Linked DNA regions of Tamandua tetradactyla. The protein of the gene in region 2 interacts with the protein of the main gene of each other region in a pairwise test. Links are inferred from orthologs where the notes say so. Each region holds a gene or a part of one and is shown on either strand. Other genes may lie near its edges.

Region 1 (7,157 bases), on a different chromosome or scaffold from region 2:
GAGACTAATCATCGGACTTCTTCAAAAGTCTTCTTCCTGAAGACAGACCCAGCCTTTGTGGCTTTCATTCTCCTCTCTGGTACAGCTGCATCTCTCTCGGAGGAATGAGGGGCTGCAGGAATCCCTGGAGACCTTGGTGCTTCACGATGCTGCTTGGGTGATTCTTGTACATAATCTTGTGTGCTCACCAATGATTTAAAGGAATCATGGTCAGAGTTGTCATGGGAGTGGTGGTCACTTGCGCTTCAAACCTTCAGTGAGAGGGTGGGAGGGAAAGAATGCTGAATCTTTTTTGGACGGGATGGGGTTTTTCTCTTTGTAATTATTTCTTTAGTTTAACCTTTTGGTTGTTTGTGCAATATTATATATTTTAAATTATAATGCATCTCCCCAGAATATTTTGTAGCTGGGAAAAGAAAAAAGGAAAAAAAAAAATCTAACAGCTGTTAGTTTTGTAATTAAAAAAGAAAGAAAAATGAACTTTGTCCTGAACCTTTTACAGACTTGCCGTTAACAGCATTAAAAAGATTCAACAGAAGCTGGAAGGTGTCTGGGGATCTGTCCTTGTCCCCCACAGCAGCTGCACTGGATCCAGGGCAGGTGTACATACTGCAGGGGTGGCTTCAGCTTGGAACCTGATGGGGGAGGGACAGAGTAGGGAAGCAGCCTGGGTCCTGAGGAAGTCCCTTGTCCTCATCCCAAACTCAGCTTGGGCTTTGAGGTGAGGAAGGGACAGGCCCCCCAGCAGGCCTCTCACCAAGACAAGGAGTCAAAGAGGCCGTTTCTGCATTCCCAGTGCTTCGGCTTTTATTTGGAAAGGAAGTTGCAAGAACAGTATTTCAATTGCTCTTGGTCATTTTTCTCTCTTTTCCTCCCCCCGTGTGTGTGTGATTTGGGGGGTTGTTTTAATTATCTAGTTAAACACCATGAAAACCACTTATCATGGTAAAGGAGAGGTCTAAATGAGGCCCTTTGGTTCCAAGATCTTAAAGGGAAAGAGAATTAAGACTTGGGGGAGGGGGGGTGTAAGTAGATTTAGGGTAAACTTAAAAGTGTAAAATATATATCACCATTTAGAAGCAGGTTTTTGAGTTTGCTTTCTCCCCCTGCTTTATTGGGGAGGACTTGCTATTGCTTTTATCAAGTGTTTGCTAGCCATGGATGCCAACTAACTTCTTCGATTGAAGGCCGGAGGATCGTGTCTGGTTCCAGGAGCCGCTTGAGCAGGTCCTGGCATTCGGCCGAGATGCCCAGATGAGTGGGGAAGGACACCCCCTTCTGCTGCTGCCACAGCATCTTGGGGATGTCTGTGTCATCAAAAGGTAGGCTGGCACAGAGCATGACATACAGGACTACACCCATGCTCCAGACGTCACCCTTCCTGCTGTCGTGGGGAATGCCCTGCAGCACCTCAGGGGCGGCATAGGCTGTGCTGCCACAGAAGGTCTGACTCAGCTCCCGGCGTGACTTAGGCAGCACCTTGGCAAAGCCAAAGTCAGTCAATTTCAGGTTGAAGCCCTGCAGCAAGGCGTTCTCGCACTTGAGGTCCCGGTGGGCCACACCACAGCCATGGCAGTAACGGATGGCCTCAACCATCTGACGGAAGAGGGCCTTGGCCCGGCTCTCGGGCAGTGGCCCCCCATTCAGCACGCAGTCAAAGACATCCCCTCCCTCAGCCAGCTCCATCACCAGGTAGATTTTCCCGTCAGCAGACTCCAGCATCTCATACACCCGGATGATGTTCTTGTGGTCCAGGGTACGAACAATCTGGAGCTCCCGAGGCAGGAATCTCTGGATAAACTCTGAGGAGACAAAGGGAGTAGAAATGGGGAATCAAGTCCAGAAGGGCCTAACTCCCCACTACCATCTCCTGCCTTCCTCCTGTTTGCCTGTCTGCCTACCACATCTGGGTCTTGTTCCTTGGCTGCACTCTGCAAAGAATATTCACCTCGGTTATTCTTATGGTTAATATAATATGCAGGAAAATTACTCCATAAAGATGTGGGCAGCCTGTGTGGGATCAAAGTGCCTTGGAGACTTAACAGACAAAGCCATTGGACCTCAGTTATGGGGTCTGATTTGCCCACAGGAGTGAGCTAGCTCTTCCCATGCCTGCTTTCCTACCACCGTTCTTTCCATGAGCTGGGTCTTCCTTTTTCCCACCTCTGCCTGGCCTTGGCACTGGCTCCTGCCTTCTGATATTCCTGGTTGTGGCCTCTGCCAGTGTTTGTTCCCCTCCTGGAATAGGAAAGATCTGATAGCTCAGGTTCTGCTTCTGAGGACCCTTCATCTCCTGCCACTTCCTTTAATCTTGGACTTGGAAGGAGTAGTGCTCCTGAACTTCGAGCATCACTCTGTTCCCCACCTTCCTACCCCAAAGCCATATCTGGCTTGCTTTCCTTGGTTCCAGAGTAAAGGCCAGGAGGGAATGATTTTTCTGACCGGAGGAAGGATCTACCCATCTCAGCCAGCCCTCCCTTCCTCCAGAGGGGCCCCAGCTCACCTTCTGGCCCTCCCATCTTGTCTATAATTTTAATTGCCACTTTTCTTTGGTGTTTTTTGGAAAATGCTTCTTTGACTTTTGAGTAGGTCCCTTCCCCAATGGTCTTGCCCAGCTGGTACCCATTGGAGAGCAGAAAGTCCTCCATGCTTCTAGCGCCTCCTTCCTATCACCCTCTCAGCTCATGCTGCCTCCACGAGGCAGCTCTACTCCACCATCACCCTTTGCCTGCTCCTTTTCCCCCCCAAGGACTTCATCCGCAGCCGCCCCCAACGCTAGAACATTCTCCGACTGAACACAGCCGCGGGTGGTGGGGAGGGAGAGGACCAGACATTTTTAAACTCCGGCCCAATTGTGATGTAAATGCTGTGTGACCCTTAGCCAAAATGGGCAGTGCCCCTACCGGCCCTCACCACCACCACCACCAAAACCGGCGCAGTTAAGTCACGGCCTCCACTCGCTCCCGCCTGGCAATGAGTCGCGGTCCCGCCCGGGAGCGCATTCGGGGTATCTGTGTGCGGATGCCTCCTTGAGGCAAGCAGCCCTAGCCTCTTGTGCTTCCACCCGGTGGCTGGGGGTCAGCGTCATCCAATCTCAAGGCGCCAGGGTCAAGCGCCCTTCAGTTCTCGGTTCCTGTCCGCGCCAAGTGCCCTGGCAGTCGGGGGCGGCGAGAGGTTCCCCGGCGGGAGGAACGGGCTCTGTGAGGTCAGCGCGCCACGGCTTAGGTCACAATGCAGCCCTCCCCCTCGACGCCCGAGCCCGGACGCGCCGCAGACACCTCCCCGGCTCCACCGGGACCGGAGCGTCCTCTTGTGGCCAGGGCTCGGGCAGCTGCTTCCAGCTGGGACCGGCCTCGGCCACCGGCAGGTGAGCAACGGCCAGGGGGCAGACGCGGAGAGAGGGCGCCTGACCTGGGAGGACCTGACCGCCACTCCCCGCGCAGAGCGCCCCGGGGCCAGGACATGAGTGCCCAGGAGCCCCCGCGAGGTCGGAGATTCCCCATTGAGGCTGGAGACTCCCCTGGTCTTGCTGCTGCCCCCGAGTCCCAGGACAGCCCGGAGCCAGTAGCTACAGAGCACAATCCGGTCAGGTGAGGCCCGTGCCCCCACCGCGAGACCCGTCCTACGCCCAGGCCCTCCCCACCGCCCGGAGGTGTGCCCCCATAGACTGCTGCCCAGGTACATCTCCCTCACCGAGCCACTCCCAGCTCTACTTTACCCCTTTCTTCCCTCGGGTTTCCTGCATCTCACGCGCCATCCCCGGTACGCTCCCCAAATTCACACCCGAACCTCGGGGGACGCCAGGTGTGCTCCCGGGGTGGGCCAGGCTCCCGATCTCCTGTCGCGCCCCGCCCTCTCCAGGCCGCTTCGACGTTGCCCGGGCTGCCACTGCCTGACACTGCTGCACGTGCCCATCGACGTCTACTTGGCCATGGGCGGAAGCCCCCGGGCCCGCGCCACCTGAGTGCGCCTGCGCACAGCGGCTCCGCGGGAGCGGGCGGGGGCGAGGCTCGCCGCGGGCCCCACGCTGAGGTGGCGCGCGCGGAGCACGAGACAATGATGCACATTTTAAAATAAAAGAATGGTGCACATTTTAATAAAGCACAGCATAAACTGTTCTTTCCACTCCGGGCTGGCCGTGTATGTCTATCCGTCGGATCGGGTCCGCCGGCTGCTCGGCACCATCCAATAATTCCTTCCCTTCCGCCGCCTCCCCGCTGGGCCCCGGCCCTCCTGGGCCTGCCTTCCTCTGGCCCAGCGCCACACCCAGCCCACCCGGCATCCAACTTCCCACTCTTGTGGAGCCCTTCCTCCCTCTGCATCCTCTCCTCCGCCCTTTCCTTGACTCTCCAGTGAACTTCGCGTTACAAGAGCAGATCTGTACGAGAAGCTCGGGACTGGCGGGAGAGGTGAACGGACAGCTTAGACTAAAGGGAATGGCCACCCACTACTTGCCCATTTAATTCTCCCAATTAGGTTCTCCCACCTACTGCTTTGTCACCCTGGACACCTCTGACTTGGTCGGAGCCGTCAAGGGCTGCCCCAGTCCATCCTGAGCCTTGATTTCTCGGAGGGCTGGTGGGACTACAAAAAGAGCTTGGGAGTGAGGTCACTTGAAAAACTGGTTTCTTAACTTCCTATTTTACAGGTGAGGGAACGGAGCCTGGGACCCCCGACGGTCCGCGGTGCCAACCACACTCACCGTCCTCGGGAAGGCTGGCGCCGACCCACCCAGGAGGTGCTCCCTACACGAAGGCTGCCAGGAGAGGCTAGCATTTAAGCTAAAAGAGTATTTTCCATTTTCCAGTTTTGCTTTATTAAGAGACTGAATTACTTTTTAATTGGAAAAAGCATAACCCAAGAGTCAGATTCAGTCTCCTCTCACCTGAGATCTAAATACAATTGACCCAACACCCCTCCCTCATCCAGCTGGTACAAGTCCAGGCCCTCCCTAGAGCACTTCAGAATCCTACCATCACCAAAAGGGACACCCTTCTCAATTTCCACACAAAGTGCTCCCCCAGAGAGTCTCAAATGTAGGAGGCGTTATTGGAAGGTGGGTGGAGGGGGATTGCCAAAAAAAAAAAAAAAAAAGGTAAACTTCAAAATAAGAACTTTAGACTTGACTCTTGCTTCTTTGAACATCCTGGCTCTTGAAAACCCCTCCATGCTTGCCATTCCCCTTTCCAGAACAGTGTCCAGCTTCTGCCGTAGTGCCAGCTCCTCTCTCCTGCTTCACTCTTCTCCTTCCCCACCCTTACCTTCAGACTCAGTGCTGCCCACTGCTGGGTGGAGCAATCCAGCTGCTTCCATCCCCACCACCAAACTCTACTGCAGGCCCTACTCAGCCTGACTCCCCATGCTGCCGCTCTCCCACCCCAAAGGGGCCTCTTTCTCTGTAAATAGGACTCTCTCACCTTAGGAAGCTGTGGTCATTTTAAACAGAAAAAAAATATTGGCCTCTGTATTGACAAGTTCCCTCCACTGCAAGCAACAGAAGATAGTTTATGTTAAAAAAAAAGGGGGGGGGGGGAATTCACTAGTTCAAGTAGCCAGGAAAAAAACTAGTATGGGCTAGTTCAAAGGATTAAAGAATGAATTGTGGGAATCAGGACATCTATTGGACTGGAACCAAGAGTTCAGGTTGACCAGAACCCTGCTCTGTTCTTCTCTTGTCCCTGACTATCTCCTCTGAGCAGGAAGCCCTAGAAGGGAAAGCTGCTTTCTCTCAGCCTCAGTTTCCCTGTCCCCGGGAAGGGCAGCGATTAGCCCTTCTTAAATCACATACACACCCATTGGACCAGTTACCATGGCAGGGAGATGGGAAATTACAATTGACCAGGCAGGCCTACCCTTGAGGTGGGAGCACAGCCAGGTGATTGACTGCATCACCAGGAAATGAAGAATAGAGATGGAGAAGAAACATTCCAGGAGCGGGAACAACTTCTGAAAAAACTGGGTATGCCTGGGACACAGTGAGCTGTTCCCCACTGGAGGAAACGCCTATCAAGAAGGGGTAAAGGCTGTTCTAAAATAACTTCAGCATTTTAAATAAGAATCACAATGACAGTAGAAAGCTAAACTATGGACATGTCAAATGGTTTGTTGATTTCTTCATTTTAATGGACCTTTATTAGAATGCGATGTGTTGAAACCTTTTAGAACTGACCAAGAGATGAATGATATCCCATGTTTAATTTGCATTTTCTCTGTCCCAAGTTCTTACACTATGTCTTGTGGGGAGAGGGAACAAGGGAGGGTTTTACTTTTTTTTTGAAAAGTTTGAAAATATCTGTCAGATTTTATTTTCATTAGTTATAGTGAACTTATTTTTAAAGTGAAAAAACAAGAAGTAGAGGGCGCTGAGGCCTCACTGTTCTGAGACAATGAGGAACCTTAAACAGGTGCACCAGGAGGCTGGCCACTGAGCTGAAGTACAGGCTTGTTCCTAAATCAGTCACCACAGGTGTACCAGGCAGGCCTGTACACTTAGGGATTCAGTGGCAAACCTGGCAGACCCAGGCCTTGCCCTCCCTCACAAGACCCATCATCCAGCAATAACCTGCTGGGGGCCTCAGGTGAGTCACTTCCCTCTGGGCTCATTTCCTCATTGGTTAAAAAAAAAAAAATGGCACCAGATGGATACTAGGGACCCTGTCAACCCTGAAATGCTGAATCGTTCTCATTCTCCCATTCTCTCTTCTCTCCCTCACTTTCTTTCTCCCCTCTTCTCAACCCACCTTTCATTTATTGCTACCTCCCACAGGCTTGGTGGGTGAGGGATGCAATGATTCCAGATACAGCCCTTGCCATGGGAACAGACCCTGGGAATAGTTAGCTCTAGAATGTCCACAAGCACGGATAAGGGCATGCCTGGTAAAAAGAATATTGTGGACAAAGGCCCTGAAAGTGGAGGAAAAGTTCAAGCTCAATCAATTTTCACCAATACCCACCTAGGCCAGACCAGATACTGGGAACACAGGCCAGAATCTGACAAATCCCATGTCCTTGCCCTTGCAGAGCTCACAATTCAGGTGATCCAGGGATGGGTTAAGAGAAGAGAAGCTGGGTCTGGGGGCCTTCGAGCACCAGGTTCAGGAGTTTAGAATGTCGGCAACAGGAAGGACAACAGGCTCCAGCCCAAGCTACTTCACTCT
Region 2 (7,590 bases):
CAAGCAATTATATCATCTACAGAAAGCCAGGGTTTTTCCATTCATGACAGTTCAATTCAGCAAGAAATTCACTGTAATAGGCATTGTGGGGAGATGAGAAGTCAAGATTTGGCTTTACCTTTCTAACCATTCTATCCCATAGATCATCCAATCCTTTAACTAAGTAAAAGTTTTAAAAATAATACTATTTGGGGGGCAACATACATCACATTTAGTACCAAAGCTAATGCAACAATTTTTAAAACGCAGCCACTTGATTTGGGCACATACTAGGACGCTTAACAAATAAATATTAATTGGTTGAATGACAGACCAAGGTATCTATCTAATTAATACCCTCTTCATTCTCTGGACACACACACTTTCATTGGCCTCAGGAATAAAGTAAATAATCCTCTGGTTTTTTGTGTTTATTTTTAAAGCACATTCATGAGTGTAGAAACAGACCTGTGGCACTTGATTAATGACAAAGGCTGTTCTGCAGAGAAGTGGAGAAAGGGGGACCTTTTCCAAAAATGGTCCTAAAACAACTGAATATACATATGAATAAAAATTACCACCTGAACCCCACCTCCTTCATACACACAAACAAAATGTCTTCTAGGTTGATTGTAGATCTAAAGGTAAAATAACAAAATTTCCAGAAGATAACATGGGAGAACAGCTTAGAAAGCACTAACCTAAAGGAAAAATTATTCATTAAAAAAAAAAACAATAGAAAATTAGACAAGGGACAAACAAGCATTGCACAAAGAGAGTATCCAAATGACCAATAGATGTATAAAATATGCTCAGTCTCATTAGGAATCAGGAAAATGCAGATTAAAACTACAGAGAGTTGTGTTACATCCACCCACCAAAATAACTAAAGTTTAAATGAATAACAATATCAAATATTAGAAAAAAAATATGGAACAAGAGGAACATAAAATGCTGGTGAGAATTTAAATTGGTATAAAGACTCTGATAGTGTCTACCAAAGCTGAACATATGAACACCACATGACCCAGCAATTATACCAAAAGGTATGAACAGGAATAGAGCAGAACTATTCTTAATAACCCCAAACAAGCCAAATATCTATCAAGAGTAAAATGTATATACAAATGATGTCATTGTTCACACAGTGGAATACTACAGAGCAATGAAAACATACTACCTGCCTCCACAGATAGCCACATGAACAAACCTTATAAACATAATGTTGAGCAACAAAAGCTAGTCAGGAAAAAAATAAACACCAGATGTTTTCATTTGTAGAAAGTCCAAATGCAGGTAAAACCTAACCATAGTTATAAAAACCAGAATAGCGGTTATCTTTGGAGAGTGAGGATAGAATGATCAACAGAAAAGATCAGAAGTAGGATTGCTAGATAAAATATTAGACACCCAGTTAAATCTGAACTTCAGATAAATAATAAATGATTTTTAATATAAGTATGTCCCATGCCATATTTGGGACATGTATTTTTATTTGCTAAATCTGGCAACTCTAGTTATGGATTACAATTCGGAAGTACTGGTAATGTACTATTTCTTAATGTTCATTTTGTGATCATCCATTGTGTATTTTTCTGTACATATATTGTACCACACAATATAATAAGTTAAAAAAAAAGCAAAAGTACACTCAGTACATACAGCCTTGCAAATTTTAAAATAGCACATCCAACCACTGCTTTTCTTTCCCACACTTAATGTTCTATATGAAAGCTATGATACTTCTGCATGAGGTGCAGCAGTAATCCGAAGTGTTGTCTGGCCAAAAGTTGTGGGCTGTACTTTCAATCTTTATTAAAAATCATTTCTTTTACAGAGCATGCTTCTTTACTTCCAAACTCTTTTTTTTCCCCATACCCATCCTCCCCGGATCCATTCTTATTTGAAGGACTGGCTTAATACCACCAAAGGCCAATGCTATGCTGAATGGCCAGCCTCTCCCCATCAGCCAAGAAATGCCCAAATCAGTACAAGTCAGAAAGAGCAGACCCTATGTAGGGGTCAGAATCTAACGGCCTAAAGCTACAAAGAAGGGGGTTACTCTAGGGCTAACAACTTGGATACACTGTCCTGAACACATAAAGCTGAATGCTTCAATTGGCCACCTGGTTTCTAAATTTATCAGAGGTTTAAGTAAATATCCGGAAGGGTTTCATTTAGTTCTCTTCCATTGATCTATTAGTTACCTTCTCCTTCAGACACAACTGGCAAAACCAAGTAAAGAGTAGTGACCAATGCAGACAAAAGTCCCAAGCACTTTTCTTCTGCTGTTTAAATAAGGTGTTATTTATTGGCAGAAGTTCATCAACGCCCAAGGATTTTTGTGTGTGTTTTGTTTTGTTCCTTCATCTTGCTTTGAAATGGATCCTCCCGATTCTGAATAAAGAAAAATTTCTCCACGTTTGGATGCCACCCTGACCTTCAGCCCCCTTGAGGTTTCTTCGCTTTACTAACAAGTACTATATTTATCTCGTTCACACAGTGATTTGAGGAAAATGATTAGGTTCCCTGGACTATGAGACTGTGTAGCTTTGGACCAGTGAGTGAGGTCGCTCTGTACTTCAGTTTCCTGAACTGTAAAATGGGAATCAACATAGCATCCAATTCAAAGGGCCGTTGGGAGCATCAGATGACGCGTAAGGCGATTAAAGAACAGTGCCTGGCACATCTTAAACGCTCAACAGTAATTCTTAAGTATTTTCATCATCACTATCGTCTTCACTACCTTCAAGGGTCCTGCCACCTGTTAGGACTCATGTATCTGATGTAGGAAAAGCCCCCAGATGCAGTTGGGGGAGGGGGGAGCGGGTGTAGGCGAAGAGGTAAGGGTTCCACTAGGCTATAAAGTTGAGGCAACCCTCAGGAGAAGAACCAACGGCAGGAAGCCTGGGCCGGAGCTCTGACACCGGCTCCCTAGCTACTCACATTGCGGTTAAAGCTGTTGCCGGGCAGCAGCGGCAGAGTCATGGCTCTGAGCGTCGGAGGGTTGAGAGAGAGAGAGAGAAGAGGGGCGGCCTCTAGGCCTCAGGTTGCGGCCGCCTAGGGCCGCGTTGTTTGGCCCATCGGTTACCTGGAGACGGGAGGCGGTGTCACAGAGGGGGTGGGGCGAGGCTGGCGGGGGCGGAGAGAGAACCTCCCCCTCACTCACCACCTCCCTCCCGCCCCGCCCCGCCCACCCACACAGGCGCTCAGCCGAGAGCAGGTCTCCAGAGTCTTTTTCTCAGTCAATGCTTTGTGCACACACAAAGGCTGACAACCGCACCACTTCCCGCCCCCGCCGCTTTCTGGTTTAACACTTTTATAGATCCCAAAGCCTTTCATGTACTTAAGAACCTTCCATCCTTGCCACAATATTTTTTACCGTTTGGTTCTGAAATTGAGTTATTAAATAGGTCAAACATACAGAAAATAATATGGCACCCGTGTACCGACTGAGAATTAACATACATTAATGTTTTCCTATGTTGCGCTTGCATCAGCTTTAATTAATGGAAGACATTCTAGATGAATCTAAAGCCACACATACCCCACCCATCCCCCACACGAAAATTTATTCATTAGCCACCATCCTCAATCCTTCCCCTGTGTATTTTTATATTTGAAGTAAACATTTGTAAGTAAGATGCTCATTCTTGGTCCAATCAGTGGGGTGAAGCAGCACAAAAGGCAGCCCATCACTCCATCCACCCAAGATGCCCAAGGCCAGGAATTTCCGCGATTCCTCTCCCCACACTTAAAGCTAATGCCTCGCCAAGTCCTACTATTTGGATATTCTAGTAGCTTTTAATTACCACTTCCTTGATCTCAGTTGAGCCCCTATTTTTCCTTGCCCGGTTTTCTTCTTTAAAAAAAAAATAATAATCTAACTGATTTTGCCTTCAAAACCATCATTTAATACTTTTGTAATTCATGATGCACCTGTTACTCTACCATTTAACTAGTCTATCCTTCCTTCCACCTTCAGAAGGCAATCAAACTCCTTAACCTGATCTAAAGAGCCTTTCTCAGAGGATACCTGCTGATACTCTCTCTGTCCCTTTCATTGCCATCCCTCCTATTCCAGCTCCGAAAAAATCACTAGTAATTTCCAAATCAGGTCCTGCAACTCCTCTGGGGTTTTGCAGATAACATGATCTGCTTGAAACACCCTTCCTGCCTATCTTTCACTTGCATAATCCCTTCATGTCTTTCAAGACTTGGTTCAGTGTAAGAGAGACACATAGAAGACTCTACCATTTCTGTGACATGTTCCCTCACTTTCTCCAGCTCACCTCTTATGTGTATTAGGGACTGATCCATAATGTGGTTTTTATCCCACTATGTTGTAATCATATGTTCCCCCAAGTTCCTCCAAGGGCAGGAACTATAGTGCCTTTTTTGCTTTCGTTTGTTTTGTTGTCCAAATTAAGACATCAAGAGGAAGATACCTTCTCTGAGGAAAGGCTACCGGCATCCTGGGTTTGGTTTATTGGTTTCATGAACATTAAAGTATAAATATAACAAACTACTTGGAATCCTGGGTAGAACATGAGATTTTGTTGGTTTGTCCAGACTGATGCCCCGATGAATCCCACAGGGATTTGATCAGTGAGTGGAAAAGTATTTGCAAAATCCCCTTCGGGGAATGATGAGAACGGGGAGAAATTCAACTTCCCCAAGTTGAATTCTTGATATTCTCACAAGCAGTGCGGACAACCAAAGGCTGGGCCCCCAGTCTTGGGGTTTGTTCATATGAAACTTAACCCCATAGGGGATAGGTCAAGCCTACTTGAACTTAGGCCTAAGAGTCACCTCCAAGAGAGCTTCTTTTGTTGCTCAGATGTGGCCTCTCTCTCCAGCCAACACAACAAGCAAACTCACCACCCTCCCCCTGTCTATGTGGGACATTACTCCCAAGGGTGTGGACCTTCCTGCCAACGTGGGAAAGAAATCCTAGAATGAGCTGAGACTCAGCATCAAGGGATTGAGAAAAACCCTAGAATGAGCTGAGACTCAGCATAAAGGGATTGAGAAAACCTTCTGGACAAAAAGGGGGAAGAGTGAAATGAGACAAAGTGTCAATGGCTGAGAGATTCCAAACAGAGTCAAGAGGTTATCCTGGAGGTTATTCTTATGCATTAAGTAGATATCACCTTGTTATTCAAGATGTAATGGAGAGGCTGGAGGGAACTGCTTGAAAATTTAGAGCTGTGTTCCAGTAGCCATGTATCTTGATGATGATTGAATAATGATATAGCTTTCACAGTGTGACTGTGTGATTGTGAAAACCTTGTGTCTGATGCTCCTTTTATCTACCTTGTCAACAAACGAGTAGAATATATGGAATAAAAATGAATAATAGGGGGAACAAATGTTAAAATAAATTTAGTTTGAAATGCTAGTGATCAATGAAAGCGAGGGGTAAGGGGTACGGTATGTATGAATTTTTTTCTGTTGTCTTTTATTTTCTTTTTGTGAATTGATGTAAATGTTCCAAGAAATGATCATGATGTTGAATATGCAACTATGTGATGATATTGTGAATCACTGATTATATATGTAGAACGAAATGATCATAAGAATGTTTGCATTAGTTTATTATGTTTTTTTAATTTAAAAATTAATAATAAATAAATAAATTTTAAAAATAGACCATATCTTTTCTGGGGTACATAACAGATTCAAACCAGCACAGGATCTTTTGCTGATGTTTATATTGGCAAATTTGTGATTATCTAATTTATTTCTAGCTTTTTTATGTCCTCGATGACTGCTTTTAAGCATAGCAAAAATCTCACTATTGGTAGTTTGTCTTTTAATTCCATTTATTGTACATAAATTTGATATTTTATTCTATTCAAATGCATCTTTCATTACCATTATGGTTTGTGCTTTGTATGTGAAATCAGGAAATCTTGTACTACTCCTAAAGAAGTTATTCTCCTACTTTTTTTACAAACATCTTTAAATATTTATTTTTGTTTGTTTTTAAATTGAAATAATTTCAACATTATAGAAATGTTGAAAGAATAATATAAAAAACTCCTGTTTACTTTTCACTTGATTCCCCCAATTGTTTCATATTTTACCCTATTTGTTGTATTATGCTCTCCCTATATACATATTTTTTCCATTTGAGATTAAGTTGCAGATATGCCCTTTTACTCCTACATAATTCAGTGTATATATCCTAAGATCAAGGGCATTCTTTCACATCACTGAGGTGAAATTACCAAAATCGGAAAATTGGCATTAATACAATGCCATTTTCTAACCTAAAAAGCACTCAAACTTTGCCAACTGTCTCAATAACGTCCTTTCTAGCAGTAAATACGGAAATACATAAAATCTGGTTCAGAATGTAATCAAAGTTCACACACTGCACTTGGTTGTCATGTCTCTTTATTCTCCTTTGATCTATAATAGTCTTCAACCTTTCTTTAACTTTCATGACCTTGATATTTTTTACGAGAATAGGCCAGATATTTGGTAGAACATCCATCAATTCAGGTTTGACTAATGTTTCCTATTGAGTACATGCAGGTGATGAATTTTGGACTGGGACACCACGGAAGGAGTATTGTGTCCTTCTAGTTTATCATATGAAGAAGCACATAATGTCTATTTGTAACATCATTGGTGATCACTTGGTGAAGGAGATGCATGCCAAGTTCCTGCACTGTAACATTTACAATTTTTTCCTTTTTAATCAATAAGAATTTTGTGAGGAGATACTTTGAAATTATATAAATATCAAGTTGCTCATTAAACTACTAGTATCAATTAATTATTTTTCCTGAATCATTTATTACCATGATAGTTGCCAAATGGTGATTGACTAACTCTATCACTCCTTCTACATATATTATTATATTTGACATTCTCCTACAAGGAAGAGTTTTCCTTCTTCTCCATTTATTTATGTCAAAGTGATCTCACAGATTCTTATTTTATTCAGTGAATTATAATCCGCTAGTATTCTTTATTTTGATTCTAAAATTGTCCAAGATTGTCCTCTGAAGCTGACTCCTGTGTTCTTTTGATCATCCCCACTATTTTTTGAGCACTTCCTTTTTGATGCTATAAGATACTATTCCAGCTCATTTGGTAGTTTCCCTGCCCCAACCCTGGAATAAGCCATTTCTCCAAGTATCACTGATTCCTTTTAGTGGAGAATGGTAAATATTTACCTACTTGTTCAATACTAGAAGACCCAAGAAGCAGTTTCAGAACATCTAACTCACATTCTTGTGAAAAATAAGTGAATAACTAGAGTTTAATATTTTCTCAGTGTTTTTTTGTTTGTTTCTTTCATCTTAGTGTATATAGTCATAATATTTTGTTCAAAATTTACTTAGGTTAGCCTTTGCCCTCTATCCCAGTTTCCCCCCACACCAGCTAAAGTGTTTATACTACTCATCTGAAAAACATTTGGAATCATTCACTTCTGTTTGCATTCCATGTTAAACTTTTATTCTTCATCTTTGTTTCTTCTTTGTCTTTCTTATTTGATACAGTTGTTTTTCTCCTTTTTTGGTTTGATGAATGTAGCTAGTGGTATATCTATCTATCTATCTTTCTATCTACCTATCTACACATACTTTTTTCCAA

What was found. The genes of interacting proteins can lie anywhere in the genome.
Region 1: the proteins of EFHC2 (region 2) and TSSK3 interact in binary tests that used the Homo sapiens proteins (3 or more experiments, as listed by UniProt). The two-hybrid records come from large-scale screens. The link is inferred for Tamandua tetradactyla from reciprocal best matches to the Homo sapiens genes EFHC2 and TSSK3.

What each region holds. Positions count from the first base shown.
Region 1 is NC_135328.1:193,531,435-193,538,591, forward strand, and holds TSSK3 (testis-specific serine/threonine-protein kinase 3), read right to left. Parts: upstream 2,898-7,157; 5' UTR 2,649-2,897; coding exon 2,504-2,648; intron 2,239-2,503; coding exon 2,125-2,238; intron 1,803-2,124; coding exon 1,141-1,802; 3' UTR 565-1,140; downstream 1-564. UniProt on the Homo sapiens protein: Serine/threonine protein kinase required for spermatid development and male fertility.
Region 2 is NC_135353.1:127,137,149-127,144,738, reverse strand, and holds the start of EFHC2 (EF-hand domain-containing family member C2), read right to left. Parts: upstream 3,089-7,590; 5' UTR 2,968-3,088; coding exon 2,926-2,967; intron 1-2,925. UniProt on the Homo sapiens protein: Microtubule inner protein (MIP) part of the dynein-decorated doublet microtubules (DMTs) in cilia axoneme, which is required for motile cilia beating.